Linked DNA regions of Neodiprion lecontei. The protein of the gene in region 1 interacts with the protein of each later gene in a pairwise test. Links are inferred from orthologs where the notes say so. Each region holds a gene or a part of one and is shown on either strand. Other genes may lie near its edges.

Evidence for each region.
Region 2: the proteins of pelle-like serine/threonine-protein kinase pik-1 (region 1) and protein pellino interact in a two-hybrid assay, tested with the Drosophila melanogaster proteins (2 studies listed by BioGRID). The link is inferred for Neodiprion lecontei from reciprocal best matches to the Drosophila melanogaster genes pll and Pli.

Annotation. Positions count from the first base shown.
Region 1 is NC_060265.1:9,923,476-9,927,407, forward strand, and holds the start of pelle-like serine/threonine-protein kinase pik-1, read left to right. Parts: upstream 1-1,159; 5' UTR 1,160-1,899; intron 1,900-1,905; exon of another isoform or gene 1,906-2,097; intron 2,098-2,412; 5' UTR 2,413-2,443; coding exon 2,444-2,555; intron 2,556-2,747; coding exon 2,748-3,368; intron 3,369-3,569; coding exon 3,570-3,932. Other genes in the region: ATP-binding cassette sub-family B member 6, read left to right, coding at 69-226, 406-798. UniProt on the Drosophila melanogaster protein: Plays an essential role in the Tl receptor signaling pathway that establishes embryonic dorsoventral polarity; the signal directs import of dl into ventral and ventrolateral nuclei, thereby establishing dorsoventral polarity.
Region 2 is NC_060263.1:2,901,625-2,905,556, reverse strand, and holds the start of protein pellino, read left to right. Parts: upstream 1-1,126; 5' UTR 1,127-1,912; coding exon 1,913-1,923; intron 1,924-2,269; exon of another isoform or gene 2,270-2,284; coding exon of another isoform or gene 2,285-2,289; intron 2,290-3,932. UniProt on the Drosophila melanogaster protein: Scaffold protein involved in the Toll signaling pathway via its interaction with pelle/pll kinase.

The DNA.
Region 1 (3,932 bases):
TTTCTATCTATTATTCATCATTATAAGATTTTGGGTCTGTAATCTGATTGGCGTATTTTTATATTTAGGTGTTGTGCCGCAGGACACTGTATTGTTCAATAACACTATCAAGTATAACATTCAGTATGGAAAAATTGAAGCACCAGAAGCTGATGTCATTGCAGCAGCTAAGAATGCAGATATTCATGAAAGAATTCTAAGTTTCCCTGACGCATACGAAACAATGGTTTGCTTACTTTAATGCTTGTTAACAACATTACAGAAAATGTCTTTGTATAAAATCTTTGGACTTTTTAACAAAATTTCTGTAGAATGTTTTGCTATCTAAAAAATTTTCCTTAAAATATTCGTTAAAAATCTCAGGCTTTGCTGTAAGACCAATGGGTATTTTTTATTTCGACACAGGTTGGCGAGAGAGGATTGCGATTGAGTGGCGGTGAAAAACAACGTGTTGCAATTGCTCGAACAATTTTAAAATCACCTACGATTGTTCTCCTCGATGAAGCTACCAGTGCTTTGGACACACAGACAGAGCGTACAATTCAAGCAGCATTAAATCGCGTCTGTGCAAATCGTACAACCATTATAATTGCTCATAGATTATCAACTATAATTCATGCAGACGAAATTTTAGTTTTGAAAGATGGGGAAATCATTGAAAGGGGTAAACATAACGAATTAATTTCGTACGGCGCAGTGTATCACAACATGTGGCAAGCGCAACTACAAAACAATCAAAACGGTGAAGTTGCTGTAGAAAATGGTGATATAGATGACGATGATAAAAAGGCATCCTAGATCCAATAGATCAAAATTGATGACATAACTTGTACGCATGTACATGTACTATGTGTATATTTGTACAAGTAGATAATTATGTCATGCCTATGTATACGTATTTATCTTAGAGCTTAATATAGTATACTCAAGAAACACTTTCTGATTTCTCATTTGTAGATTGTATTTTCTGTCACCTTGAGATATACATAAAACATTTGTCTACATATGTTCGTACAATATTTCCCGTTAACGACAAAAGTTTTGTTCGGGTTAAAATTTTGTGTCAAAAAATTATCCACGTGTAGATCTTTTGTTAGAGAACAGACTTTTGTTATTTGGCAGATTGAATAAGAATCGATGACGAAAACGAATACTTATGGCTTCCGGTAGCACAACAAACTACGATTTTTATCTTCCACTTTCCAAAATCTGTTTCTAATGTGCTCTTAAGTTAGTTAAATCCTATTAGAGGAAAGTGATATTTGTTCGTGATATTCATTTCTTAAAAAGCCTTTCAGAACTGATTTGAATTCAAAGTTGAATGGTGATTTTGTGATGAAATATGTTCTACAGATCACTAGATGATCTCCCTTTATTCTTCAGCTTTGATACATACAAGCCTTGGTTTGAATAGATTTTTATGAAGTTGCCAAGCAAACTGACAATATGTAAGCAGCGATTTCACGACAATCTTAATATGATCCAAGTTTGGAATATTTATGTAAGTCATTAAAAAAAACTGACTTCTGTTTTAAATGCATTGTTTTCGGTTTCTTTCGTCACACAGTCGTCTGTACAGTTGATAGATTTTCACTGAACTCTAATACTTATGCATGCATGCACAGCGTAGTTACCGGTCGGATGATCTCTGCAGGGTGCAGTTTTTCACGCGGTCGTCTATTTCCTCAAGTCTAAAAATAGCACTGTGGAAATTATGGGAAAGAACCAGTGACTTCATCATCCCCGCTTGCCTGGAAACCAGCCAATCAGGCTGCGACTTGCTAGTTGCAAAGGTCGGGGTTTTTGGAGACTGAAGACGTTCGACATTTGTATAGCAACCTGTTACGCGTGACGTCACAACTAACTGTCTTCAGTCAACGTCTAGTGTGTAATTGGAAGGTAAAAAAAATATGTTTTGACGTGAGAGTAAACCAGGATTATTTCGTTAATTCTATTAGATTAGTATGCAAGATATAATATCAGATATTAGTAAAATTTAAACACGCAATGTAAAATTAAATTTATTTTCAAACATTTAACCATATAACGAAATCCAGTCTGTCGCGCGAACTTCTAACCTATCTGACTATTTCTAGGGTAATTAACTCGCAAAACACTTTTATTTGATTCTTGTGACACTTTGTTGAGATTCTTCGCAGTTCATCGTCATGTTCGCCTACGTAATCAACGCAACTAACCCAACACAACCATCTTTTATCTTGTTTCACTTGCCATGTTATTGTTTGTAAACAATAGAAACTGGCACCAGATATTGCTCATGGCATTAACAGCACATAAGGCCTCCAAATTCCAATAATTGCCCACTGGCAACTTGTTACAAAGATGGATAGTTTCTCAATCCAAATACAATCCCTCACATTTTAATTCAATGTAATTTTCATCATGATCTAGTGCTTTTGGCTTTGTCATCGACTATCCTGAAATGGCTGTGCAGCATGGACAGACTAATCTTTATATCGATGATTTGCCTTGGCTTGAAAGAGAAGAATTATGCAGAATTCTCAATCAGAACAATGAATGGGAAGAGCTAGCAGGTAACGTTTTTACCCATAAATTTGCTATAAATCAGGACCAAGTCAGGTTTGGCTAATTTTTTATTAACAGTCGGAAGCAGCGTATCAATAAATTTAGACTCGATTTAAGATAGAACCGAACGGCTGAACTTGATACCATGTCGTACTATAAGTTAGAGTGAATAGTGAAAAACAATATTCGTCTTTCTTTAGGCAAATGGATGAAATTTGATGTATCTACTGTTCAATGTTTAAGAAAGAACGAAAATCCGACAGATAAGCTTTTGAAAATGTGGACTACTTTCAATCATACAGTACAGGAACTGTTCCTTTTATTATATAAGATGCAACACCATCAGGCAATGCTACTTCTGAAAAATTTCGTCAATCCCAAGTACAGCAAGCTTATCACCAACCGGAAAAGGCCTTCAGCACAATTATTGAATTGCCATGTAGCTGACGAACATTCAAAAGATCTGAAAATAGGAACTAACAATTTCAATCACATTCAACCAGCTTCAAGCGATGTGCAGAAGCTTTGTATTTATCAAACAATGTACGAAAGAGTGGCAAAAATGTTAGACAAGTTCCCACTGCCGAATGATCTAGATCCAAGCAATTCGGATAATATGCTTGTACCAACTGGTGTAAATCAAAATCTTGCTCCAGTTCCAAGACCTGTAGTGGATGGTTCTAAAAATAATAATCAATTGAAGATATCACTTATTGATACCGACCTACCTCAACCATCTTATGAAGAATTAGCAAAAGCTACGCATAATTGGAGCAAACACAACATACTGGGAAGAGGAGGTTTTGGAACAGTTTTTAAAGGTCAGTGTGTACCGTGTTATGCATACATAATTCAATTCAAAACAGATAATTCTTAGGTGAATGATCTCTGGACAGTTGAAAATTTTACTAGAAAATAAATTCGTATACATAGGATTCAAATCAACTTACAAAAAAGTTTTAAAAATAAATCATGTAACTAATTTGTCAACTGGTACTGACTTTAACACTTCTCAAATCTAGGTATATGGAAAGGCACCCCAGTAGCCATTAAAAAAATAGAACAACGAGGTTCTGATTCGAAGGAAAGCTACTTGATCCAGGTAGAACAGTCTTTAAGAGAATTGAAAATTTTGTACGCCCGGAGACATGACAATATCCTGCCACTGTATGGTCACAGCATAGGCGGAGAAGCCCCATGCCTAGTATATCAACTCATGCCAAATGGATCATTAGAAGATAAACTTTCCTTGAGACAAGGATCCCAACCCCTAAATTGGTTGCAACGACATAATATAGCCACGGGTACAGCTGGAGGCTTACAATACCTGCATACTATTGGCCACAAGCCACTCATCCATGGAGACATAAAAAGTGCCAACATTC
Region 2 (3,932 bases), on another chromosome or scaffold:
TGAATACCTAGTTAATTATGTGTAACGCAAATGCGATGCCTGAGTATATTTATTTATTATTCGTGCTCCTCCCACCTTCTCCAATTTCTATCTGTTTTCGTTGATATACCAATATTTAACGATAATGGATTACTACAGCTATGTATATTGTATGTAAATTAAAAAACACATGTTTTCGTTGTGTACATTTTCGTTCACGGTTTTTTTCTTTTGTATGCGCACCAGACAGAACGGAGAATAGTAAATCCTCCTGTGAACAGGCAACAAATGTTAGGCATAAAAAGTAACGTGAAATGCCTACACACAGGCGGATTTACCGCATGTTGATTACCTTGGTCTATGGATTACCCACGCGGTGCATCCGCATACATGAACCGACCCGTTACACCAGTATTTTTGCAGAGAAATAAGAATGAAAAATCTACATAACTATTTTTACAGCACTGTTCAAATGCATATCGGCCTCTATGAAAGCAAAATCTTACGACTAACGATAAAATAAAAGGCTGCTCGCCGATACTGTGGGACAGTAGGACGAAAAAGTCGCAAAGAGGAAACAGGAATAGAGGATTCTCTAGTTCACCGCGCGGTTCAGAAGAGGACACTATGATTGGCAACGCGACAACTGTTACATTGCATTACGCTATCAGGATTAAAGTCGTTGGCCTCTAATAAGATTCACTAAACTTTAGAGAGGCTGATTATAAAAGACCTGACTCTGACGTGAAGCTTATAATCCATGTAACTCTACGGACCTCGATGATAAAACAGTTAACTCCTGTGTACATACGAGCATAGAAGATAATTTCTATCAATCAGGAACCGTAGAGTTATTTGGATTATAATCGTCACGCCAAGGTTAGGTCTTTTATAATCAACCTCTGTAAAGTTAAGTCAATTTCTATTAGAGACCATCGAAACGATCCTGATCATTAATTATAATCCTCAGTTGAATGACGGACGTTCTGCGAACGCTCGCAACGCGAGGCTCGTCGACATTTCGTGTCTAAAAACTCGTTAGTTCGTGGCCGATGAGGTCAGCTGGTAAACTTTGCGCGCGCACATGTGGCACGGCAAAAGGAGGGGGGGTTTAGGGCGGTTGGGGTGATGGGGGGGAGGGAGACGGCAGCGAGACGAGTTTCGAGCGTCCCGATCACGGAGCGTCCCGAGTTTGTCCGAGAAGATATTGCTATCGCGTAGAACGGTACTACAGCACCAGTCGCCATGCCCCGTGATTGTTAATCCCCGATGAAAACACTAGCTCGTGTTGTGTTACACACGGGCACAGAACGGACCTCACGTCCATAAGAGTGTACGATTCTTGAAGAGTGTCACAAAGTGATGGTGATCCAGTAACAAGTGAAGGTACATAGATTGAACGTTTTCAACGAGTTTACCGACAGACTGACTACTACCCGTGTCCCGCTCCCCGTTTCGTGCGCCGAGTCGAGCCGTCGTCGGTGGCTGGACTTGAAATTCTGAAATCATGGATCAGGACAGTTTGAGGGCGTCCGAAGAGTCCAACGCCGCCCATTTTATCCAGTGAAAACAACCTTCGATTACAGTTTGACAACTCGAGTGGATCACACCCGTCGTCCTCGATCCGAGTTTTTTTTTTTCTGTGTAATCGCATTGTTTTCATTTCTCTCTTCCCTTCCCCGCCGTTCATCCACCCTGCTCGTTCTCGCTCTCTCCTCTCTCTCTCTCTCTCTTCCCCCCTTTCTCACTCTCTCCCACGTACGCAACCACACACACAGTAACCCATTCTCTTTCACTCTCCCTATCCTATCTTTGTCCTTTTGTTTCCCTTAAGAACTCGTGCAAGTTTTCTTCAAACGTAAACGTTATCAAAGTGGCCCCCGTTACGTGTGCCGAACGAGGCAGCAAAATTGGCTCAAACGCGGAACCTGCGATGGTGATAAGGTAACGAAAATATATTAATACTTTTCATTAATCACTTTCTACTTTGCATGCACGTCATGCACGACGTGCGTATACTTACATTGACTTCAATCACAGTTTTTATATTGAAATTTCCTGAGGCCGTGTCTGTGTTGCGCGTATCGGTCTCGATTGCGCCCAACTTGTTTCGACACGTCTTTTCACCCTTCAAACGTCAAACTATCCACTCATCGACTTTTCACACACCGCTACTGTAATTACAGAACAAAAAACATAACCTAACTTAAACTCAAACAGAGTTCAACACTAAGGTCATTACATACGTCATTCGTCCGGTTCCTGAATCATCGAACGTGTCGATTCATTGAATGTGAAAAAATAAATGGGGTATGTTGGTAAAAAGAAATTAATTTTCAAGAGCATTCGTTTGTTCTTTATACACTGTTCTTGTTAAATATTTTCCCGAAGCTTTGAGGTCTTGTTTATTCCGTATAGCTTGCCACATGCATTTTGCAGATGGGAGCAAGCACAGCATCAATATTGACACAAGTACATCAGCGTAGCCATGATCAATTTATATTTTTACGCTACCCGACATACCTAAAATCTTGAATACATCGAAGAAAATTTTTTCACAAAGCTGCAAACGCGAAATGTATAATAATGTACACCGCCTCCAGGTTGGTTTTTATTGTTCATTTTTTGCGATAAAGACTCAATGGCGTTAGTTGGATTTAATGTGAAGAAAAATCGTTCGACTGAGAAGTAACTGCGGTACTGTTCATTTTTTGTTCCATCAAACTATCGAGGGGGAAACTAAACGGAGTATAAATTGATGATTGTTATGCAGCTGAAGCTAGTAACGTTATTGTAACGATTCAAGTGTCGAAGTATTTTAGAAATATATCTGAAGTGCGGTAAACCATAATAAGAATAAATATGTTATTACTTCAGAAACTTGACAGCTTCGAAAGTGACTGTAAAATTCGTGCAATTTCCGAATGACTTTCAAAGACCAGACTTTTCGAAATATATGAGTATGTTTGGTTCATCACGGATGACTGAATTTCAAATAATCCTAAATGTGCGAAGTAACGGGATTTTTCTCCTAAACATGATAAACTGCAGGAACTTTTAGTTTTTTGCTCGTAATTAACTGCGTACTGATTTGCGATTATACCTTGAACCCAAATTACTGTAGGACAATGAAGGTCGGGGTCTGTTTGCCCAACAACAAGAAGTATGCTCTGACTCGACCTTTTATCTATATAATGTTAGATTTGTAAATATTTGAATGTTTCCGAGCGAGTTGTTCTCAAGGGCGAACGAGCGTTTTCATGCTCTGTGCACGTACGATTTTACTTGCAGAACCGATCGTCTGAAACAAACCGCAAGTTCGGCGTAAATCAGTCGATTATTATTAGCACAAGTCCTGAGTTCAGAAGGTGAACTTTGCATGGAGCTGAAGTTAGTAAACGTTATTGTAATCATTTACATTTCGAAAAAATCGTTATTTCAGTACGAATCATATTCATATTTCGAAAACTTTACTGCTTCAAAGTTAATATAAACTTGCAAAATAGTGATCCCCCCCCCCCCCACTCTTTAACATTTCGTTAGGGTAACGTTAGAAACTTCAACCTCGTGATTTTGTTTTTCGATATACAGAGCCGTGAAACGCTGCAGTACCGAATAGGCCTAAATATAATTCTTCCCTTTTCATGCACAGCTGACAGAAGTGTATACGTATGAAAAGGGTTGCGTTTAGTTTTGTATCGTGTGGATTGGCAATCCACTTTTGACGAGCTTCGCGCTGCTTGTCAGCGAGGGTTTTCGGTAATTGAACCTGATCGGCATACCGTTACGCATATAGGTATGTACACTAGGATGGTCCTCATTTAGAATGTTGACGAATCTATTCCGGATCATCCCACCAAATCAACTATAAATAATTCAAAAACAATGCACAATTTTTTTCAGATTTTTATATCAACTGTAACCCGTGTCTGTAAGAGGAAGGATTTCTCAAT